Cricetulus griseus: one gene and its partners. The protein of the gene in region 2 interacts with the protein of the main gene of each other region in a pairwise test. Links are inferred from orthologs where the notes say so. Each region holds a gene or a part of one and is shown on either strand. Other genes may lie near its edges.

Region 1 (4,113 bases), on a different chromosome or scaffold from region 2:
ACTGCTGTGAGGTAATTAACTGCTTGCTCTCAATTTTGAAAACCTTCTTGTCACTGTGGAACTGTGACAAGATAGTTTCTTATCACTGTCTAACAGGAAAGAGAAATAACTGAGAGAATAAAGCAGTTTTCTCACCCAGTCATGGATTCCATAAAGCACAAGATAATTGTAATCCCCACCTTTATGAACCCTTCCTTTAGCTTCATTTGGCCTAGCATGCTTTTTGGCTCTAAAATTGTCATCCTTCTGCTAACAGTAAGAAGAATATATCAATTTAATCCAGATTTGATTAGTCTAAGTCTTTGGTCTTTCCCAGTGGACTTGATCACCACAATACTATCATTTGACTACAGTAATAAAAATCCTCCCAGATTTAGGATTTTAGAAAGCTTGGAAATAGCAAAAGATATGTCAATGTTTTGGGAAGGTTGGGAAAGGCTCAGAGCATATTCCAGAATATAGAACACGAAGCACATTAATTTTTTAATTAAGTTTGCAAACAGTGAAACTTAAACATTTTAACTTATGCATCCTATGTACATGTGTATCATTAATACATGAATATACCCTAAGGAAAAAACAGCAGGATGAAGGGGGAAGACAGGAATGTCATGGGCAGAATGACCTTTATTTACATATTTTTAAAGTCTATATTCTTCTGTATGTATTAATACACAACAAACTGGTTGTGATTTAATATGAAATTGTGCCTACATACATAACACAACATTTAATAGAAATGACATCTAGATAGAAGAATACTTTGAGAAATGAACGTCCTATATCAAGTGCAGAAACAAAGTTGAGAAAAAGGAATATACAGTTTCATTAAGCCTACTTTCCCAGGTGTTAGGAAAGTGGACAGTACATTGGGAAAACTCACACTAATATTATCAAGTGAGCAAAGATTTTCTTCCTTCCTTCCATCCATCCTTCCTTCCTTTCTTTCTTTTTTTTTTTTTGTTTGTTTTTTTGAGACAGGGTTTCTCTGTGGCTTTGGAGGCTATCCTAGAACTAACTAGCTCTTGTAGACCAGGCTGGTCTCGAACTCACAGAGATCCACCAGCCTCTGCCTCCCAAGTGCTGGGATTAGAAATTTCTTCTATGAAGCACAAACACCAACATATCAGGAAGCCTGAGGCTTGACCAAAGCCATTCTCGTAGAACGAGGTCTCCTAGTGTTCCTTGCATCCCTAGTAAGAACCTTTCTTAGACTCGCAGCCCAGGCAAAGAAGTTTGCCCTCTTCCAAAATGGCGGAAGCAGCCACAGCCGCCGCAGAGAGCATGGTCGGAAGTTACGCCACCCATAAGGCCGCGCGGCCTTAACCGTGAGGAGAGTTTCCGCCATTTTTGAAAAGTGGGACCGTTCTTGCCGGAGTGGTGTTGGCCGTTTGCGATGGCAGCGTTTGCTGTGGATCCCCAGGCGCCCACGCTGGGTGAGTGAGCCGCGGCCGCCCCTGGCACAGCCAGCGCGCTGTGGACAGGGGGACGGCCGTCGAGCACCACGGAGGGAGAGGGAAGCGTTGTGGTCGGTGACACCGAGGTACCCGGGAGCCCCGCACTGCGCCCGGCCCCGGTGTGGTCCCTGCCCCGCACCCCTAAAGCATGCGCGTGGGTGGGCGGTGACCCCCGGGGCCCGGGGTTGACCCGCCGCCGCCGAGCCACCTAGGTTTCTGGGTCCCTGTCAGAAGGAATTTTTGTGTGAAAGCCAGACCTAGAAACAGCCCGGCTCCCCTCGCCTTCCCCGCCCTTTGCTTGGGAATGGGGCTCTCTCTCTGTTGGAGGACTGGCGAGTCTAAAGAGTCATTCCCATTATTTGCTGGGGAAACGTTCCGAATGTGCCGTCTTTGGAAGGGAAAAAGAAAAAAAAAAAAAACTAGTAAGTTAGCATGCCGATTCCCCACCCCCGTCGAGTTTCGTGAGCAATGACAACGGTCATACTTTACAATAGGAAAACAAAAACAGCCAGTCTACAGTTGCATAGACTTGTAACTACAGTTGCATAGTTTATAAATACTAGTTTATATAACTTTCTGAGCTTGGAGAAGATTGCAGACATGGCATATATGGTGCAGCATTAGCTTTGTAGATTCAAGGGGGTATGTAATGCTTGCCATGTTTTGGGTAAAAAGTTTCTTCTAAGACTAGCTAACGAATTGGATTTCTTTTTTTCAGCGTGTCATGCAAACTGAACCTATAAGGTTAATTATGTAAATACACTGTTGCATTAGAACTTGTGCCCAGATGTTGACCTAGGTAATTTTCATAACTTCCTTAGCGGGTCCAGGTTTTTCTGTTCAACAGTGAGATTTTGGAGTGCACGTTTGCTGGGGTAATAAATATTGTGAACAAGCACATCCTTGTAAATTGCTTAGCCAAGACTGCCATTCCCTGATATTAGTTGTTCAGGTTCACATGTTGCACGTTATCTGATGGTTTGACATTCTCCCAGCCCCTTCTCGCCGCACACTGCCCTGAGTGAAACAGTGTGATCCTTAATATTTAGTGGCATTTAAGACATTCAGGATGTAGTCATTAAGCTTTCTTTTCTTTTCTATTTTTTTTTCCCCTGATTTTATGAGACAGGTTTTCTCAGTGTAGCCTTGACTGTCCTGGAACTCACTCTGTAGCCCAGGGTGGCCTCAAACCTACAGAGATCCGCCTGCCTCTACCTCCCGATTGCTGGATTTAAAGGCGAGCACCACCACCACCGCTCCGCATCATGCTTTTAAGTCTAGCCATGAAGGAAGGGATATTTAGTGACAGTCTGGTTTCCTACTTTATCACGATGCATTTAGGGAACCAGATTTTTCTTGATCTAACTAGATTGTTTACTTTATATGACGTGCACCTGTATGTATGTTTGTGTGCCCTGAGGACTGACTTTAGGCTTAGTGGCAAGGGCTTTTACCCACTGAGCCACCTCACCAGCCCTTGACCTAATTCTTACATCTGTCATAATTTCCCTTCCCCTTTGTAGAGGATAGAATGAAGGTAGTTTGTGTTGTTACCAAAAGCCTTGTATTTTGTTACTATAGTTTTCTAAATATCTGTTCAGATATGCCTTTTTTTGAGACTTCTGGTTTGAGTTTAATGTTATTTTGAAATCTATAGTTATTATTAGATTATTAGCACTGTGTAATTATTAATTCATGGAAGAATTACAGTATAGCTTTTCTGTTGTTGTTGTTGTTTATCAAGACAGATTTTCTCTTTATCAAGACAGGGTTTCTCTGTGTAGCTTTGGAGCCTGTCCTGGAACTAGCTCTTGTAGACCAGGTTGGTCTTGAACTCACAGAGGTCTGCCTGCCTCTGCCTCCCGAGTGCTGGGATTAAAGGATTAAAGGGTGCGCCACAACCACCTGGCTAGTCTGTGCTTTTCTTATTGCTTATTTTTACTCTAAAATTCAGTTATAATTTCCTCATCTTCATAGTGGGAGTAGTCATAGCTGCCATTTGAGAAGGTTAATTTTTTTAAAAAATGTGTTTGTTTTTATTTTATGTGCTTGGGTGTTTTTGCCTGCATTTATCTCTATGTACCACGTGTGCCTAGTATCTAAAGAAACCACAAGTGGGCATCACATCTCAGGAAACTGGAGTTTTGTGAGCCACCATGTGGGTGCTGGGAATCAAACATGGGTCCTCTGGATATAGCCAGTGCTTTTAAATACTGAGGTCTCTCTTCAACTCTAGAATTTAATTTTGAGTTGATGATTATGAGGTGTTCACTTAGGGAAACTTTTGTTGATTATAGTTCTCCAAATAATTTTTTTAAATAAATGATAAATGATCTAAAAGTAAGTTTTAAAACTCTTTTCACTAGGGGCTGGAGAGATGGCTCAGCGGTTAAGAGCACTGGCTGTTCTTCCAGAGGGTTCAATTCCCAGCACCCACATGGCACCTCATTAACTGTCTATAACTCCAGTTCCAGGAGATCTAACACCTTCACACCAATGCACATAAAATAAATTTAAATAAACTAGTTTAAAAAAAACCTCTTTTCACTATATTTCTGAGTTAAAAGGCAAATTATAACATTATTAGTGTTGTAATGTTCATGATTTCCTTTTTATTACTGAAATAATTCACTGTTTTATATATAGGGAAGAAGAG
Region 2 (3,500 bases):
CTAGCCCCAGCAATTTATTTTCTTGTGGCATAAAATAAAATGCTTGAACAATACTTTTGAGGAGAGAAATCAATATTGTCTGTTGATAATTAGCACTTTTCTAATACGACTCTGTAAAATCATGATCAAGGGAGACACCAGCACCATCTCACCTAAATCTAAGTAAATAAAATGTCCTATTCGTAAACAACGAAACACTAATGAAGTATTAAAACTTGACACAACACTGCAGGGTAAACTGAAATTCTTCATTTTTGTCAACACAGAATATTTTATTCTATTAAAAAGTTCAGAGTTTGATAGATATTTAACAGACTGGGACCAAAGTAAAGTGACTCTCCAGTTCTGGCCTCAGAGGAAGCTCCACCCACAGCCTTCCTGTTTCACCTCTAACAACAACTTTTAATTAATGGTTTCTTTCTAGGCAGGGACAGGCAGACAGGTTCTCACCCTCTAAGTTGGCTTTAAGACCGGAAGGATCCTCAAAATTACAGAGCCTCAGGGATGCGCCTTCTGCGTTTGAGCAGAGCATCTTGACTCCCTGGAGATTTGCGCACTGTGAACACAAGAGTCCCGGCTGTAAGGGTTAAACTTGACAACATCTGTGCAAGCAATAAGAAAGAAATGAATAGGAAAGGCCCAAGTCAACACATCTGCAATTTGTTATTTTCTGTTTTATCTTGAAGATATCTTTAATGAAACCCAGTAAGAACTGAGAACTTTTGAAAGAACTGCATAAAAGAAATAAACACCAAATGAACAACAGCATGTCCATTTTGCATAGAGCATGAGATCAGATAAAGCTGTGCAATCTAAACTATGACAGCCTATTTCTATCTTGTAAATAGCCCTAGACATCACAAGATAAAGCTAAAAATGTAAGTGAAATAAGGAAGACATAAACTCAGGGGATAGAATTTTTCTTCCTAATCATGAAAGGAATAAAAGAAAGAAAGAAAGAAAGAAAGAAAGAAAGAAAGAAAGAAAGAAAGAAAGGAAGGAAGGAAGGAAGGAAGGAGGAATGAAAGAAAGAAAGGGAAGGAAGGAAGTAAAGAAGGAAGTAAGGAAGAAAGAGAGAAAGAAAGAAAGGAAGACAGAAAGAAAGAAAGAAAGAAAGAAAGAAAGAAAGAAAGAAAGAAAGAAAGAGAGTCTTGACGTCCCATTCGTTCAGAGGCCAGGTCACTAATGCCACCATTCACCTCATCATTTACCTATACAACACTAACCACCTGTTTTGAGTCTTTCTGTGTCAACCACTGCTCTATGGCATTGCCAACCCTGAGCACAAAGCGTAATGAGGAGAGCAGAGAGTTAGAAAATTCATGTGTGAGTTTAAGTGTTAAATCACTGCTTTCAAGGCCTGGATTATGAGGTATTGATCAAAATGACAAGTGTCTCTGTAAAAACTAACATTAAGTACTTCTTCACAATTGTGACAATCAAAACAGAAGCTGAGTGTGTTAAAATTTACAATGTAGAATATACATGATAATTGTTCTTTGTCTAAAATCCTAAGACGGATAAGTTATAGCCATACTTATTAAGGGAGATCTTTGGTTTTTAGGTGCAGTTTTACTCAAGCTTCAGTCACTTCCAGTAAAAGGAGACAAGAGAGGTCATTCCACTGACAGCCAATGGACAGATACTTGCTTACTCCCATCTTTCCATGCCTGGACCCTAATGAGGAAGTATAATATAGAAGCTCTGCCAAGGTAAATGATACAGTAAGGCTATTAAGAGATCGAAATAACTAAGGGATGACTAGATGTATATACCTTAAAATCTAACAAGACAGGAAGCTGCCATCTGCAAATAAATGTCACTACTTTTTTTTTCTGTTAATAATCCTTAATAAGACATTCAAAATTTACCCCAATTTCCCAGATAATTCTGTAAGTAAAAGTCTACATCCAGGGCTGTGCTCTGGGATATAATGAAATAGGAAATACAGGAGAAACTGTAGTAAATTTTTCAATCTTTAGCCATGCAAAGCACTTCAGGTTGTCATTTCTGAGAATGTACAATTCAGCTAGTAACAGCAGTACCATATTTATAAGAACTGTCTTGCATTATCAAGAGAGGCAATGTGTTTTGATGAAACCAGTTAGGTCATTTTCTGTTATTTTAAAAATATATACTATGCTTCTTAAATGACATTTATCTTTAAGAGATAAAATTCTATACATTTTGAACACACACATATATTGAAGTAATGTGCTGTGTAAAAATATTCTGTGGTAAGATACACATAAAAGAAAGTTGACAACATGCTAGTGTTTGCTGAGGTTAATGGACAAAGATAAAATGGGGATTCACTGCATTATTAAATTTTATAAATATTTGGTATTTTCCAAATGAAACAGTCCTTTTAAAATAAAACCAAATTACAAAGAAAACACACTTTAGATTCTAGTTCCTACTCTAATAACTGGTTTCTGGCCCTTGGGAAGTTTCTAAGCTACAGATTATCAGCCTATAAAACAAGGTCAGACTAAGCAAGCATTCCAGTTCTTGGTACTCTAAGTTCCTATCAATCCATAAGGCTGTACTGGGAATATGCAGTGGAGACAAGAAATGAATCATCTGCCTCTATGCAGCCAGATAAGCCAAAAACAAGCAAAGTATGCAGAAGAAACACCTTAGGCGTGATGCAAGGTATGGACTCCTTAACAGTGATGGCAACAGGGATCACCTATGGTTTACAGTCAAAAGGTTCAGGGGCTATGATGGAAAGAAGCAAAAATGATAAACTGGGTGAGAAGTTCAACAAAAGATGGGAGCCCTAGGGGCACCTTTTGTGGCAGAATGCTCAACACATACCTTGTTTTATGAACATTGCAATATTCATGGCTATTAATCAATGGCCACCTTCAAATACCAAAGGCAATGAGAAGTTAGCTTTGACCCTCATAGCTTACAACTCAGCACCACTCCTCAATATAAGCCAACTTTATCAGCAGTAATTAACTTACATTCCTATAACATTTCACTATATGAGAAATATATACTGGCCTTCACATCCACTATTTAAGGTAGGCAGATTAAGATTCTTGAGTTCTAGTATACAGAGAACATTATGTCTCAGTTCACAAGAACACCTTAACTAAATAGATCTGAAAAACAGTTGTTTTGAAATGATTAAATCTGTCTTTATCTTTTTATGTCCCTACTCAAACCAAGTAGTCTTCCAACATTTCAATAAAGGCTAACTCCTTGAAACTTGCCTTTAAGCTGTTAGTTTTATGTCTTCTGCCTATTTTGAAACTGGACCATTCAGCCTGAGGTAGAACAGAGAGAGTAGCTGTATCTAAAATGTGTACTGCCTAAATTGTGATTTTTTTTTATTAGACTTGATATAGAAGTTGGGGTAAACAGGCTGAACTAATGAATAAAACCAAAATTATAATAACTCAACTATCAAAAGCAAAATGCTATACCTGATACAATTAATTAACAAAACATACTAGAACCCTGAGATAAAGAATTTAATTTGTTACTGG
Region 3 (3,500 bases), on a different chromosome or scaffold from region 2:
ACACACTAATGCATGTAATTGGGATTGCATGGCTTTGGCTTATTCTCTTAACTTACAGTTAACATATCTTACATGTTAAAAATCTGGTAAAGCACTGCCTTTAACAACTCCCATAGAGGCCAGCAAGATGGCTCAGAGAGTGAAGTGCTTGCTGTTAAACCTGATGACCTGACTTTGATTCCCAGGATTCCCACAGTGAAGGCGAGAACTGACTCTGTCCAGCTTTCTCTACCTCCACATGTATGCTCCAGCATGTGCAGATCTACTCTCTCTCTCTCTCCTCTCTCTCTCTCACACACATTCATGCTCATACACAAATAAAATGAATATGTGTAATACAGCCTAAAAAAAAAAAAAACTGTTCCAGAAATAACTGACCATTTCTTTGTTTATGTTCTCTTTTTGTTTTGTTTTATTTTTTTGCAGATTTTTTATTTGAATTAGAAACAAGATTGTTTTACATGACAATCCCAGTTCCCTTCTCCCTCCCGTCCTCCCCTACCACCCCCCCCCCCCCGCAACTAAAACCCTACCTATCACATACTATCTATCACATATCCTTTCTGCTCCCCCTAGATGGCGAGGCTTTCCATAGGGTGTCATCAGAGTCTATCATATCTTTTGGGATAGGGCCTAGGCCCACCCCCGTGCATCTTGGTTCAGGGAGTATTCCTCTATGTGGAATAGGCTCCCAAAGTCCACACCTGTGGTAGGGATAAGTACTGAACAACTATAGGAGGTCCCATAGATTTCCGAGATTTCCTCACTGAAACCCATGTTCCTGGGGTCTGGCTCAGTCCCATGCTAGTATCCCAGCTATCAGTCTGGGGAGCAAGAGTTCCCCGATGTTCAGGATAACTGACCATTTCTATAGCCAAGTAGTCAGGTTTTTCTAGTTTTATACTCCGATAAATGCTGTAATGAATATTTTGGGGCATAAATTCTCATCTGATTTTTTTTTTGTAGTTTCTTAAGAAATTATTTCTGTAAATCAAATTGACTTAAAAGATCTCTAGGATCTCTATGTCAACATAGACTTAATCATTTTCAATGTAGAGCACAATGAATCCTGGGAAAGGCCCTAGATCAGAGATCTTCATTATTATTGTTGTTATCACCATCATTATTATTATGCATTAAGTCACCGTCTGGCCATAGGTGAGGCGGCAGTGACTTGCTTTGTTGTCTTGGTAGGTGATCCCTACAAGCTTATCCAGGGGGTAACTCTTAGGCAGCATAGGTGACTTCTCCGAGCTAAGTATGGAGCCCTTCTGCTTCATAGCAGGAGTTGTGGACTCCCTGTGAGGCTGAGTTAGCACTGAGATGAGGCACACTGTCACCAGGAGTTCACTGATGTCACCTATACCCTAGCTAGTTATGCAGGCATCTTTTGTGTGAAGGACAGGGAGGGCCACTGTACTGTGTTCGAGGGTCTCCAGGAGGGCACTGTCCTACCTGGCATAGTTCTTGTGGTACTTGTTTTAAGCCTCTGAAGCAAGGATTACAATGTCTTGGCAGAATGGGAAGGTAAAGCTTGGCCTCTGTCTGGTCTTGATTTCCTCATGTTTAGACTCTACCGACTGAAGCACAGTGTTCAGACAGCAGCCTTAGTAACACCCAGGTTGTGAGAGACAGACACTGGGGCCCCATAACAGAATGACCCAGAATCTACCTTCTAACGGGTCTTCAGGAGATGCTAGTGTTTGGGAACCATGAGTCTAGACTTCAAGATGCCTATTATCTTTGGGAGAAGGACAAAAGATGAGTTCTGCCATCGGGAAGCAGGCCACAGACTAATATGGGAGGTATCTCCCTGTAGGAACCTCAAAGGAGGCAAGAAACTCTCCAATTCAATATTTAGTTGCCTGGCAATACTTTGCCTCTTTGAATTTGAATAAGGTACTCTGTAAGCAATTCAATTTAAGCTCAGTTGGATTTCAGAGAGATGATAAGGAAAAGACCATTTGTCCATGTTAGGTCAAGGCCAATGACCTTAGGTGATGACAGGTGCAGAGATTTGGGAGTGCCCCACTTTCCACATCACCGCTAAGAGAAGATGGATCTCATCAGAGAATTGGAATTTTCCTGGGCATTATCATTCTGATCTTTCCAAACCACAGGGAGCTTGAATTTAAGAGAGGTAGCTGTTTAGAGGAACACACAGCTGGCAGCCAGAAGAGACTATATTTCTAACCCATTCCTAGACTCTGCTTCCTACTTTCACCATCTCCCAAGCCATTTTGAAACTTACATTGGTTCCAACTTGATTCTCTTTCTTTTTACTTCTCTCTCTCTCATTTATTTATGGCATGATCTGTATGAGTGTGTGTGTGTGTGTGTGTGTGTGTGCGCGCGCGCGCGCGTGCGTGCCTTCCTGCCTGCCTGCCCTCGAGTGCGCGCGTGCTCATGCGCTCCCTTGACTTTTGTTAGTTTGAAGACCAGTGGTGATACCATCTATCTCTCTATCACATTGCTCCTTTATTATTTGTTTATTCATACTTATTTCTTAGACAATATCTGTCATTCAACCTGGCACCCCACTTTTTCCACTAGATTGGCTGATCAGGTAAACCCTGGGATCCCTGCCTCTGCCTCCCCAGCACTGGTACAATAGATGCAGGCCTGACTTTGACATACATGATGGGGATGCAAACTCAAGTCCTCATGCTTACACAGCAAGCACCTTGCCTTCTGAGCTGTCTTCCCAGGCAGTTCTTTTTCAGTAGAGCAGGGCTGGGGATTTACATGTACTTACCACTATGATTTCATTTCACTGATGGGCTAATGAACATTTCAGAACCCTACACTATTTGACTAGCCTGACTGCTGCAAAGAGTCTAGAGGAGCAGATTCAAGCGACTACCTTCTTGAGCCCAAGATAACCCTTTCTGACCCCTTGCTTTCGTTCTGTGCCCAACACCATCCCTTTGTCTTACCTTGGCAGCTCTCGGATATACCAGAGTCTGGTAGATGACAATTGGGCCTGGGGTCTTCACAGAGGTGTCATTGAATGAGTACCAGTTGTGGAAGCTATTGCTGTTCTGTGGGGGCTGGGTTTCCCCTGTGGCACTCCAGTAGGTATAAAGGCCGTCGGTTGGTCTGACAGGTGCAGTAGATTGGGCCCTTCCAAAGGCCTCCATCTTGGCCTTATCATTGGTGGCACTGAAGGACAGCAAGGAGGAGCTTCGTTGGTATATCTGTTGGTTGCCGAAGCTGTGGGTGCTGAACGTGACCTTCCTGGCGATCATCATTTCTGAGTGGATAGGATACTGGGAAGGGAGAGAATCCCCTGAGGAGCAAGCCTTCTTGGGTCCGGTGGGAAAGAGTTCGTGGATGGCACTGGAGAGTTCAGCAAAATCCAAGGGGATGCACTGTAAGGAGTGCAGCCGCAGCTGAGGGTCAGGCCTGAAGGTGTTCTGGATGCCCTCCTCGATCTGGTCTACCAGGATCTTAGCAGACTGTAGGAAAGCCACCTGTCCGGTTTCCTTCAGTGCTTCCTT
Region 4 (3,500 bases), on a different chromosome or scaffold from region 2:
CAGACGATGCCTTGACGTTGGGGTGCCACCTAGTGGACAAACTCCATAATGTTGCTGAGACTGGCCATCATCTTGTTTTATTAACTTTCAAATTTAATGTTTAGAATTAACTTTAAAAGCTGAAGGGAGTAAACACCTCCAGACCATACGTAATAGACCTTGGTCCTTATCCTCTGCTGGAAGTAACTCAGCTCTCAGAACAGAATCCTCACCTTTGTAGTGTGAGTGCTACATCCACACTGAAACCCCAACTAGCTGGGGCATAGAAAAGATTCTGGGGAAAAAAAAAAAGTCGCTGTCAGAGGTGGCTAACGGTTTTTCACAGGCATGTCTTGGAATGACCTGGAACTTTCTCTGTCACCAAGCAGAGACTAGCACACACTCCATTCTGCCTGGAGCCCAGCAATCCTCCTAAGTGTTTTCTTAGGCAAGTTTTAGCTTGTCCCTGCTCAGTTAGAGTATGCAGCCTCCCTTAACTTTCCCCCAGAGGTTACTTGAATGGTTTTTGCTTCTACCGTGATTTCTTGCAGGAAGGCTTTTGGGAACTGACTCTGCACTCGTCTCCCGGAGTTTATGCCACCAGTCCCACTTTTCTTTTTTTTTTCCAGCATAAAGGCAACAGTTTTTAAGTAACCCCTCCCCCAAAGCAAAACAAACGAAAAAATATAACAATTCTGTAGGCGAGTGCTAAAGGGACACTTGAAGGAACACCACTGGTCTGCATGCCCAGCAGGGACAGAACTCACTTGTCCAAGACAGAAACTCCAGAGGTCATGGCCTCTGGAAACACCTTGCAGGTCCCATCCTCTAGTGCATAAGCTACATGATTGTCCCCGTGTTTCAACTTAATTCTATGTTTCAACCAGAAAAAACACTCATGGGGCATGACACCCCCCAAAGTACAGCAGAACAAATTCTAAATAGTTTCCTTAAAACTTTAGCAAACATCAGTTCCACTCCCAGAAGCAATCACTTCGTTTCCTTTTTGGCTTTCGGAAGACCTCAGGTATAGACTCTTGGCATGCATACCTTTTCTCCATTTTTTGGAGAACGCCTTCCTTTTTGTTACACCGTTAACAAAACACCACCTAAAATGATGTTCTCTTCATTGCCTAATACAACATTACAACATACCATGGAGTTTAAGCCAGATCAATACAGCATTTAAAGCTTGGCTACATTGTACTACATGGATGCCCCATTAGCTTTTTAAGGAGTTCCCTCCTTAGAAAGCACATTTAGCTTATTCCCAATCTTGTGCTATTGTTTTAAATTATTGTTTACCCATAATCTTCTGGGCAAATCTGACAGCTTCTTCTACTGGGTCTGATGTCACAACTTCATCCAGAATGCCCAATTTGAGGGCTTCACCTGCTAAAATATGTCTTCCTGAAACAAAAGAAAAGAAAAGAAACCAGTGAACAATGTGGGGATGAACCAGGGCTTGCTCTCTCTGGAGGGGAAGGGGGCCGTTCCTGGATATACCCATTAGTAAGTAAAATGCATGAGATCAGCCTGACTACTGTAGTTGATGTTTTGTGTTTTGAGACAGGGTCTCACTGTAAGGATTCAGGCTTTATGCTGGCCTGCCCCTATCACCCTACAGAATGCACTCAGGCAGTATTTTGGTCAGCCCAGCATTCCATGACTACTTGCCTGCGTGCAGATGCAAAGGACCCCTTTAAAAGACAGACCCCGCCCACTTATGAGCTCTTTCCCTCTCTCTTCCCCACTCTCCCACTCTCTTCCCCGCTATTTCCCTGGCCAGACAGTACTTTTCCTGTCTCCCTCTTCTCTTCTGTCTTCTCTGTGCTCTTTACCTCTTTTCTCTTTTCTTCTCCCTCCCTCCCCTTTCTAATAAAACTTCTCACTTAAGCACTGTCTGCCTGGTGTGTCTGTCCCTCCGCCCCGGTCACGTTCGCCTGCCATGGAATCGGACAAGGTACCCACACGCCGTATCCTAACACTCACTATGTAGCTCAGGCTGGCCATGAACTCAATACACAGACCAGGCTGGTCTCAAACTCAGAGATCCACCTCCCTCTGTCTCCTGAGTACTGGGATTAAAGGTGTGTTCCACCCTGCTAGGACTGGGCTATAGTGGTTGAACATCAATACAAATGTAGCCAGGACACTTAAATTCAAGCTGTAGCTCTAATTCTTATTATTAGAGAAACCATAGGGAACTGTACGAGAAATCAAATTCCATGCCTGATAAATGGAAGTAATTATGTTTACTATAGTAATTCTGAGTATTAGATAAAAGAAAAGTGGTCTTTTTAGATACTTAGAGAAATATAGAACCCTGCAAGTCTCTGCAGATGTGTATGAACTGGTTGAGATTTGGACTGTGATAGAAGTGGTAGCCACAGATAGACAGGGCTATCTACCGTATGCCTACCACATACCAGGAACTGTATTGATCCAGAGACAGTCCCCAAATACAGAACTAGTTGGCTGAACAGAGAAACCTTAATAAAGGCCCAGTTCTGCTCCAAACGACTATGGAGCAAACACAGCCCTGCATGCTGAACCCAAAGCCTGCCCCCTGGCTTTGTTTTTTCCTGGATCACGAACAGTGTAGGCTGGACCTCAGTCTAGCAGGCTGTAACCCCAAAGCGCTGGAAGATGAGACCCCAAAGTGACTGGAGCAGAGCCGGCCTCTCACATGTTCAATTACGGCATGTGTCTTTCCAGATTTCTCCAAGAATTTTTCTCAAACTTAACATTTCGATGTCTTCATGGAACCTTTCTGAGATGTCATTTTAAAGCCAACCCGGGCCACCAAATCACACTGTCCACTGAAAAAGACAGGTGTGTGATTCCTGCGCCAGTTTACTTGCTGATTCACAGGGGCCTTTGCCATGCAAATCAAAACTTGTCAATCTCAGAGATTATGCTTCTTTCTCGTGATGCTACAATAACAGCATCTTATGAATCAGCGCTGTGGGCAAAGACCTTCACTTCTCTTTGTTACAGAAGTCGTTTTATTTTTTTCTTCCTGATTTATCTCAAGGTACTCTTGCCTTCCTGACGAATTTCTTCAATTTCCTCATAAGCTTAATTCTGCAGACTTTAGGGCTTGTAAATTCAGTTCTCGACACTGTTACTCTCTCATATATTTTGTGCTTCTGCTTCCATTTTGTCTTTTGCTTTGCGCTTCTGTAGGATGCTGAATTACAAGCATTCTCTGAAGAAATCGAAATGACCTCAAATACCTCACAGGCTTTTGAAATATACTTGTCATTAAACAACGTGTAACTCGATTATTTGAGTGAATTTCAATTCAATACATCTAGTTCTTCTAATTTTCCTTTCACACACCTCATTTAAAAGAGCGAAGCTACTTTTAATTCATACACACTATTGGTTTCTATGTTTTCGTGTCGGGTTTTTATCAGAGCATATAAATCTCTATTATTGATTCTAAAAAAAATTCATCTTTTCACATTCTTAGAAGTTATGAAAGACTCCAAAGAGCTACTAGTTATGTAGGTGGT
Region 5 (4,283 bases), on a different chromosome or scaffold from region 2:
TTCAGTATAGATCTTTCCAAGTCAGGGTCTGATTCATCGAGATTTCTGATGCAATTCCTTGCCCAGACCCTGGCCTATGGGAAGGTCTGTGCAAATGGCAGTGGACTCTGAGTCTCAACTGGTGAAGCTCAGGGAATCCTGGGAGTTAGACACTTCAGAACTGGCAGAAGGCAGGGGAAAAGGTAAGATGGGGAAGGAAGCCGAGCATACTCTGCCCACTTGCATTTTTTTCCCCATAAAACTGGGGAAAAATCTAGCATTGCTTTGGTTGGAGAATCAGATCCTAGATAGAGAACAAAGTGAAGGCTGGGACCTGGAAGGTCTGGCACCCTGGCCTGAACACTGCATCTCTGTAGACCTACTGCTCACCTAAATCCCCAAGGTCCTGGAGCCAGCTGAGCCACTTTCTCGTGGTGTGATCCAGCTCCCTGTCTGCCTGCATCTCTTGTCCTAACTTGGCCTCAGGATTTCTTGGGGCTTGTGACAGACACATTAATCAAGTTAAGGCTCCTTGGGGTCAGGGCAGTTTATACAACTCAAATTCACATTAGGCCAGGGTACTGATTCATGTGGTACCCTGTCTCTTGCCCAGGCTTCACTCATCTCAGCTTGGAAATTCAGATTCAAGGAATCTTTTGGGAATCAGAATATCAGTGTCTCTCCCAATATGTACACACAACAACCTCCAATGCCCCCAGCATCAATACCAGTGTCTCCCCCAAAGGTACACACAACAACCCCCACCCCCAGCATCTTTGCGGTGGACAAGTAGTAGTGCAGAACTCTGTGGATGTGTTCTGGCCCTCCATTCTCTGAGGTATCAAGCCCAGAGGGAAGACTCCACTGCAGATGGAGCGCTTGAGGAAAAGATGGGAGGGAGCTAAAGGAAAGGAGGGAGATAGGAAGAGACTGACTTGAGGAAATTTTTGTCTTGGAAGTGTATGGAGTTGGGGGGTGGGGGGGAGAAGGAGATGTCACCAGAGAAACGGTGTCCAATGACAGTCTAATCTGTTCTGAGAATACCAAAGAGGGAGAGCCAACTTTAATCACGGTCCTACTTGCAAAAGTTCCTTAAGTCTTGGTCTTTTCTGCTGCAGTCATCAACTCATTGATTAAATAGTGCCAGAGAAGGCCAGAGAGAAAAGCAGCACCCCTAATGACTCACAGATGTGAGGTGGGCTCCACTCACACAAGGCTGGATTTCAAGCAGCCTCCTAGAGGGTACACACAGTCTTCCCCGGCCTCTCTACCCCTCCCTTGAAGGCTCTATTCCTAACCTAGAGTCTACATCTATCTTTGACCTTTAACCTCAAATGGAAACAGGGGTCTGGAGTCTGAGGTCACTGGGGAGCTTACCCAGCCTGCACCTGCTCCCAGAACCTCTCCTGTGGTCCCTGGCCACTTGTCCCTGGAGACAAGTGGAGACCATCTTCTTGCCTCTAGCATTCCCCTCTCCTCTTTCCGGCGCCAGCCATATGGAACCACGAAGCGACCTCCCACTTAAGCCTAGGCCCAGAGCCACTAGGGTCCGAGTCCGGGTCTCGGTCGAGAACAAGGTTCAGTGAGTCTGCGGAGCCCCAAGGAACTCCAGCGCCTCAGTCTCTGCAGGATTTCCCCACCCCCACGCCGCATTCACTCCGGGCCTCGCGCTGCCCCGGGCCCTTTGCTCGGAAGGTACACGACCCATACTCGCTCTGTCCTGGACCCTCCTAATTGCGGGACAAAGGATCCCGCTGCAGCGGGAGAGCTGCTTGGCGGCAAAGACTGGTGCAGCAGGTACATACCCGGGCCGGTCGGCTGCCACGCCGCGGACACTCCCGCGGCTCCCGCCGCCAGGGCGCGACACGCCACCCCTGTTGTCGCGACTCCCGCGAGACGTCGCGGCTGCACGCGGGACCCTCCCCAGTGGGCTCGGGCTCGGGACTCACCAGCTCCGGTGAGCTGGACTTGGCTCAGGCTGCCGCCTAGACTCGGCGGCTGCCGGGGCTGCGTCCGGCGCAAGGTCCGCACCTCCCGGGCAGGAGGTTCCCGCCTGGCAAAGTCGGCGAGAGGCACCGGCTCAGTTGCGCACCCGCCCGGAGTCCAAGTGAGTCAGAGACCGAGAGAGCGAGTTATAGGGGTGCCGGGGGGTGGGGAGTACGCCACGCCACCCCGCCCCAGCCCCCCGGCGAGACGCAGACAGCCACTCGCTGCTGAGAGACCTGGACACAAAGACCGCGTGCCAGCTGCAGACGCAAGTTTTTCCCAAGCCTAGGGGCTCGACCCGCCTTCACCCAGTCACTGAGGGGCCCTGGACTTTGGAACCCCCGGAGGACTCGGGCTTTCCTCCGCACCCAGGATGTCTCCCTCTCCACGGCTCTGGCCGATCGGCCCTAGGATGAGCCTAGAGACACAAGGGAAACTGAGGACGCATGGGTGCCGCATCTCGGAGCTCTCGCATTAGTGATGGGGAGAAGGGGTTCTTCTCCGGGGTCCCCTTCGGATCTCTTGCTGTGGGCGGCGAGCCATCGGACTGGCCCAGGCCGGTACCCCAAGCTAGACTTCTGAGGTTCTGGGGCTCTTGGGCCGGTGCCTTGGGAAGGGGAGGCCACCGGTGTGAAAATCCAGGAATGGAGGGGGCTCTGGGTCTCCTGGTACCTGAGTCAGCCGCGCTCGGACTCTGCTCCGGGGGCTGCAGCTCGAAGCTCCGACAAGTCTCCACGTCCAGCCCGAGAGGGGGCGGCCGGGCCCGGCACAGAGAGGCCAGGACCGCGAGCGCCGCCTGGCACCGAGGCCCTCCGGCCCCCCAAACCCCGCTCATGCCCCGTACACTCAGGTCTGAGGAGCAGTGGCTCGCACCCCACACCACGGCCGGACTGGGGCGGGGCAAGGCGGCCCCAAGAAGACCCTCCCCGCAGCGGCCCCCTGCGGTTCGGCTCTGCTTTTAATCACTTCCCTGCAGGGTCCCCGCCCCTCACGTGGCATCCCGCGGCAGCTGGCAAGTCTGGCGCCTCTCGACCGCCCCCTCCACACGCAGGGACCTGCCCGAGTCCGGGAAGGTTCCAACCCCGCTGTCCCACACAGTGCAGGATTCAAGGCCAGCCGAGCAAGCACCGCGGAGGTGACCTTGGGCCTTTCCGGGACTCAGTTTTCCTTTTCGTAAAAGAGGTGTAATGATTACTGGTACTTCATGAGTTCCCTGGGAATAAAGGTAGTACTTGTGAAAACGTTGGGGAAATTGCCACATGTCACACAAGTGGGCATCGCAATAACACAACATAAAAAGGGATGGCCAGACTGTACGGCGGGAGAACCCTGCCAAGGTTGTTGATAGGAGAAGTTAGCCAGACTTGCCAAGTCTCAGCTTGGGAGATAAAAGACCCCAAGACTGCGGAGCGAGGGGAACTGCAAAGACTTTCTGAGCCCCACAGTCTTGTGGTCCGAGGCACCGGCACGTTGCTATGGAGACGGAGGCAGCGGCCGTCTCTCTCCATGGCAACGGGAGGAGAAAGTTTCTGGTGAATAGAAATGGGGAGCATTTCAGGAAGGGGTTCGGTTCCCACCAGACCCACCTCCACGCATCAGACCAAAGCCACCAGAAATAATATATTTGTCTATGAAGCATACATAAAAAGGGCCAGAAAGACAGAAAACTAAATAGAAGGCTAGACTGTAAAAGGAGCTCCCCTCGGGAACCGTGAAGTGAGACTCAGAATCAGGATGGTTGGGATGCTTCACTTAACCCTGGAAATCTGCGAGCCATTGCTAACTGCCAGGGGACCGAGCCCGGTAAGGTTCTATCACGGTGGATTCCTGTCCTTCACCTATCACCAATGTGTCACCTTCCCGAGGTGGCATCTTGGAAAGAAACTTTAGCTGGAGCTCCTCCTGCACCTTCAACTACGGGGCTAGTGTGCAACGGAGAGTGGTCGGGGAGGAGGGTCTTTCCTCCGAATTAACACGCTAATTGGAAGTGGCTTAGGCTGTGACTCAGGTTCCGGAGGGAGGAGATTCGGAGCGCCAACTCCAGGCGATCCCCATCGTGCACCTTCTGCACCAGCCTCATCACAGGTCCGTTACAATTGCAAACCCCAGTCAGGAAGGGCCGGGTGTAGCAAGGAAAACGCTGAGGCCCTGTCCGTGGTGCTGAAGGTTCTATTGGTACAACCAGCCTGTGCGCAATGTATTAGGGAACAACGGGGAGGGGCAATTAATTATAGCCGGTTCTCAGCTTCCACCCGGGTCCCTGGAGTCTGCCATAAAGAGATGGAGGATTTCAGGCAGGAGGAACTGAGGAGGCTTGA
Region 6 (4,040 bases), on a different chromosome or scaffold from region 2:
AACTGATCATTAGAGCGGTAATTTCCACCTCAGAATATAAAGCTATTACCTGTGGTTGTATATCTTTTTATAAACTATGTCTAGAATTAGAGAAGGATTGAATAAATAAATAGTCAAAATAAGACCAAACAGAGAAAATCATCTGGAAAACCTATCAGACTCTACACAGGGCATCTTTCATCATTTTTATATTTCAGTTTTTTTAAATTATTATGTTACTTCAAGTATAGCGTTTGACCTAATTATACTTGTAAATGCTTCTAATATCAATGGGCACAAGCTAATTGATGCACTCCAACAGGTTTTTTTTCTTTCCCTGAAATCAGTTTGGTTTTATGCATAAACACAGAAAAGGTGTCTGTACTGGTCAGCTCTTGAAAAGTAGTCCAGGTCAGGGTCCACCTCCCTGGACCCCGAAGACTTGACCTCAGAAAGTCCCTCGATGGCTCAGGTCATAGATCTTGGTGCTGTGTACCTTATTCATTTCTTTTCTTTTGTGTCCTGAGGACATATGCTGGGACTTAGGGTTGGCCTCTGCTACCCATCTCAGTATCAAGTATCTCATTTTCTCCTAATTCTGAAGATACATTTTGTTTTGGTTTATTATTTTTTGAGACAGAGTTACACAGCCCAGGCTAAACTCAAAGCCACTATGTAGCAGAAGATGACCTTGAATTCCTAGTACTTTCACCTCTGCCTTCCCAGTGCTGGAATTACAAGTGTAATTCTAATTAACTGTAATTCCAATTCTGGCTTCCAATTCTGCAGAAAAATGACCCAATCACTTTTGCTTTTTCAGCTTACAAGACAGAAGCCCACCTACCTCCCAGGACCTCACAGTCACTGTCCATGCTGTCATGTACACCTGCGAAGATGTTGGCCAGGGTGGACTTGCCTACCCCTTGCTCCCCTATAAGCACCACTCGGTAGTAGGTGTTTCCTGACTCAGAGGAGATGACAGAGTCTGTGGAGTCGGAGGACCAGCTCTGTCGGCAGTGGTCTTCAGGAGTGGTAGAGCGGCAGCTGCGGAGGTTCCAAGGGTGAGGATCCTTCTGGACCATCAGATGCCTGCCATCAGCAGGGATGCTCCAGCGCTGCTGTGGCTGCATGCCCACAGTGCCCTGGCGCATGGTGACATTATTCAGAGTCATTGTGGGGTCCTAGGAAGCAAAGCAGTCAAGATGCCAATATTAGCAAGGATGAGCTAGGCCCAAGGAAGTCCAAATACTGTTGTCAGTGGCATTCCATTTGATTGGTATGAATTAAGCATCCTTTTTTTTTTCTTTTTTTTTCTTTTTTTTTCTTTTGGTTTTTCGAGACAGGGTTTCTCTGTGTAGCTTTGGAGCCTATCCTGGCACTCGCTCTGTAGACCAGGCTGGTCTCGAACTCACAGAGATCCTCCTGCCTCTGCCTCCCGAGTGCTGGGACTAAACGTGTGGGCCACCAACACCCAGCAAGCATTCTTAATATAAGGAGCACCCATGAAGCAGTCCCCAAGGCCCTAGCATGCAAATCTTACACACACACACACACACACACACACACACACACACATACACACGCAGCTTCTTAGGCAGGCTGTCATTTGCATTTCCAATAACATCACCAACTGCCTATAAGCAACCTCCATCCTTAAAGAAACTTTGAAAATCCCACTGGGAGGTGGCACAGAGGCAGCTGGAAGGAACCCACTGCCTCCAGAAATGGCTTTACCATCAGCAACAAGTCAATGTTGCTGGGGACCAGCTGGCCAGGTTAGCTGCTCTTGTCTAAACATGGCTCTTAATTGCACCAGCGTCTTGGAGCTTTTGGGGCCTCAGTGGGAGGCACGTGGCAATGACATCACTCCCCTGGCTGGACCGGACAGGCACTTTGGGGGAACTTCCATGTTTAGTAAAGTTGCCCTGATGTTCTCCAACTGCCTGAAGAGAACATTACTTGGGAGTGGGGCAGTTTGTGTTTAAGGTTTATGCCTTACCTCTGCCCTCTTGCCCACAGATACTGTTTAGCATACTAGCCCTGAGCCTAGTCCTTCTCACACTGGCAGGACCTGCTCACATTTGCACACATCAACTTGTGCAGAAAGGGCTTCATTCTTAACGAACCTCGTCTACACCAAAATTTATTTAGTTAGCTCAATGTTCCACCCTCTTGAGGTAAATCAGAAGGTCAAAGACTCAACGAAAAGACACTCAACAACTTCTTACTACTTTCTCCTTGCAACACCTCCTTGCTTGACAAGTCTGTTCTGTCAAGACTTCCCTAGAGAACACAGAAGCAGTTAACTCAGCAAGCGCCCCGCGCGAGCGCTAGGATCGCACTGAGCTCACACACCCTACTCCACACCCCAACTCCTAAGCCACTAGCCAGAACCAGTCGGTTTCTTTTTAAGTCATAAAAACAGTCCCTGATTGATGGCCGCCTGGCCACCTAATCCTTAAGGTGACACTCCTCCGGGACTGAATCAAGGAACCCCCATGAGAAGTATGTCCTCTGCACCTGAACTTTTCTCCCATGGCAGAACCTCCGGCACAGACCTCATGGTCCGGGGGCTCCCTTCCCAACTTAAAAAGTTCAGTGGCCCGGAACTCCCCTCCCAGACGCGGCTCCCACCGCGACTGCCCCTCCGCGATGCCCCCTTACTTGGTTGCACCCGGCCACAGGGTCTGCAGTCGGTCGGCACAATGCCTGCTGCCTGCTGCAATGCCTGCCGCCTGCGATGCGATGCTGGCTCCGCAGCCCGAGACCGTGTGGTATCAGCCGGCAGCGCCGCCTCCTAAAGCCACCTCGGCCAGCCACCGCCGTTTATAGCACGCCCGGCGGCCCCGCGACAGGGCTTTTCCGTGACGTCAGCGCTCCCGCTGGGAGGGGGCGGCGCTGCAGCAAACTCTTAAGTTGCAGCCACTTGGCTAAATCAGTTACTAGCAGTCATGTGATTACCCTCGCCCCTTGAGGGGAGAGAGGGAAAAAAATGACAGTTCAGTCCTTGGCCTCCTTGATTTTGTTTTATTTTCTTTTTACCAGGTGGACACTGGAAAAATACACTTAGTGCTACTTAATCGCCCTTCCCAGCAGGGCACTTGTGAGCTGTCTGAATAAAGGATGGGGAAAGAGACAAGCCTGAGTTGCCGCGAGTCCAGCTTTGCCAAGAAAGCAGATCAGCCTGAGTGAGCAAGACTTCTGCCTCCAGGCTACTCTCACACTGGGTGGGCAGGCCAGTTTTACAGCATGCTCTGAGAGGCAATGGGCTCTCCTGCTTCCCATCACCTTCTCTCTGGGGTGGGGAGAGGGGAGCACCACACTACTTTGTTTCCCTCTTCTGGCTGGAGACCCAAAGAGAAGGGGCCAGAGGAAAGAGCTGGGGAAACCTTGGAAAGGGCAGTTTGGCTCCAAACAGCTTGCGATAAACATTCCTGTTCTGGCCACAATGCTGACGTTTCTCAATCAGAAATTTAATCACATCCCAATTGGTGCAACTCAGAACCTAGCTGCATGGCTGGAACTGTGCCCTGGAGCCTGGGCTTCCCAGCCGTGGGGAGATGATCAGGCCCAATCCCCTGAGAGTCCTGGTAGTGAAGGACACAAGATCGCAACTGCTATTAACATTTGCTAGGATTTCCAAAAGCCTGTGGTACTGGTGGGCCCGGGGACCTTGCTCCTTACCACAGTCGTAGATTGAGGAACTAGAGATGCTGCAGGATATCAGGGCCGGTGGCAGGGGCAGCATTTAGGACCTAGTTTGAGTAACTTTTTACCTGCACCACTAAGTGACCTCTTCCCCAGGACCTGGGTATTTCCCAGGGACATGGGCATTTCCCACATGCTGTGTTTAGAGTCCATGCTAGCCTGTCCAACACATCCATCTGCTTCTCTAGCCAACTTCTGCTCTGGGTTGCCTGGGAAGCAGCCAGCAACACCAGTGTCTCTTGCAGAGGCTGTGGGTACAATGGATTATTCCCAGTTTTCCTTGGGCATCTATCTGATTTGGGAATTATGCAAGTGACTGGCTTCTGAGGTCTGTCAAGGACCAAGCTGGCAAA

Evidence for each region.
Region 1: the proteins of Kctd9 (region 2) and Nup35 interact in binary tests that used the Homo sapiens proteins (3 or more experiments, as listed by UniProt). The two-hybrid records come from large-scale screens. The link is inferred for Cricetulus griseus from reciprocal best matches to the Homo sapiens genes KCTD9 and NUP35.
Region 3: the proteins of Kctd9 (region 2) and Trim42 interact in binary tests that used the Homo sapiens proteins (3 or more experiments, as listed by UniProt). The two-hybrid records come from large-scale screens. The link is inferred for Cricetulus griseus from reciprocal best matches to the Homo sapiens genes KCTD9 and TRIM42.
Region 4: the proteins of Kctd9 (region 2) and Ehhadh interact in binary tests that used the Homo sapiens proteins (3 or more experiments, as listed by UniProt). The two-hybrid records come from large-scale screens. The link is inferred for Cricetulus griseus from reciprocal best matches to the Homo sapiens genes KCTD9 and EHHADH.
Region 5: the proteins of Kctd9 (region 2) and Syt6 interact in binary tests that used the Homo sapiens proteins (3 or more experiments, as listed by UniProt). The two-hybrid records come from large-scale screens. The link is inferred for Cricetulus griseus from reciprocal best matches to the Homo sapiens genes KCTD9 and SYT6.
Region 6: the proteins of Kctd9 (region 2) and Gem interact in binary tests that used the Homo sapiens proteins (3 or more experiments, as listed by UniProt). The two-hybrid records come from large-scale screens. The link is inferred for Cricetulus griseus from reciprocal best matches to the Homo sapiens genes KCTD9 and GEM.

Annotation. Positions count from the first base shown.
Region 1 is NC_048599.1:94,462,575-94,466,687, reverse strand, and holds the start of Nup35 (nucleoporin NUP35), read left to right. Parts: upstream 1-1,313; 5' UTR 1,314-1,396; coding exon 1,397-1,436; intron 1,437-4,113. UniProt on the Homo sapiens protein: Functions as a component of the nuclear pore complex (NPC).
Region 2 is NW_023276807.1:222,739,189-222,742,688, reverse strand, and holds part of Kctd9 (BTB/POZ domain-containing protein KCTD9), read right to left. Parts: intron 557-3,500; coding exon 451-556; intron 1-450. UniProt on the Homo sapiens protein: Substrate-specific adapter of a BCR (BTB-CUL3-RBX1) E3 ubiquitin-protein ligase complex, which mediates the ubiquitination of target proteins, leading to their degradation by the proteasome.
Region 3 is NC_048597.1:205,877,635-205,881,134, forward strand, and holds part of Trim42 (tripartite motif-containing protein 42), read right to left. Parts: coding exon 2,937-3,500; intron 1-2,936.
Region 4 is NC_048597.1:67,163,130-67,166,629, reverse strand, and holds part of Ehhadh (peroxisomal bifunctional enzyme), read right to left. Parts: intron 1,390-3,500; coding exon 1,285-1,389; intron 1-1,284. UniProt on the Homo sapiens protein: Peroxisomal trifunctional enzyme possessing 2-enoyl-CoA hydratase, 3-hydroxyacyl-CoA dehydrogenase, and delta 3, delta 2-enoyl-CoA isomerase activities. Catalyzes two of the four reactions of the long chain fatty acids peroxisomal beta-oxidation pathway.
Region 5 is NW_023276806.1:53,374,361-53,378,643, forward strand, and holds the start of Syt6 (synaptotagmin-6), read right to left. Parts: upstream 2,801-4,283; coding exon 2,638-2,800; intron 1-2,637.
Region 6 is NC_048595.1:125,838,046-125,842,085, reverse strand, and holds the start of Gem (GTP-binding protein GEM), read right to left. Parts: upstream 2,801-4,040; 5' UTR 2,644-2,800; intron 1,161-2,643; 5' UTR 1,152-1,160; coding exon 824-1,151; intron 1-823. UniProt on the Homo sapiens protein: Could be a regulatory protein, possibly participating in receptor-mediated signal transduction at the plasma membrane. Has guanine nucleotide-binding activity but undetectable intrinsic GTPase activity.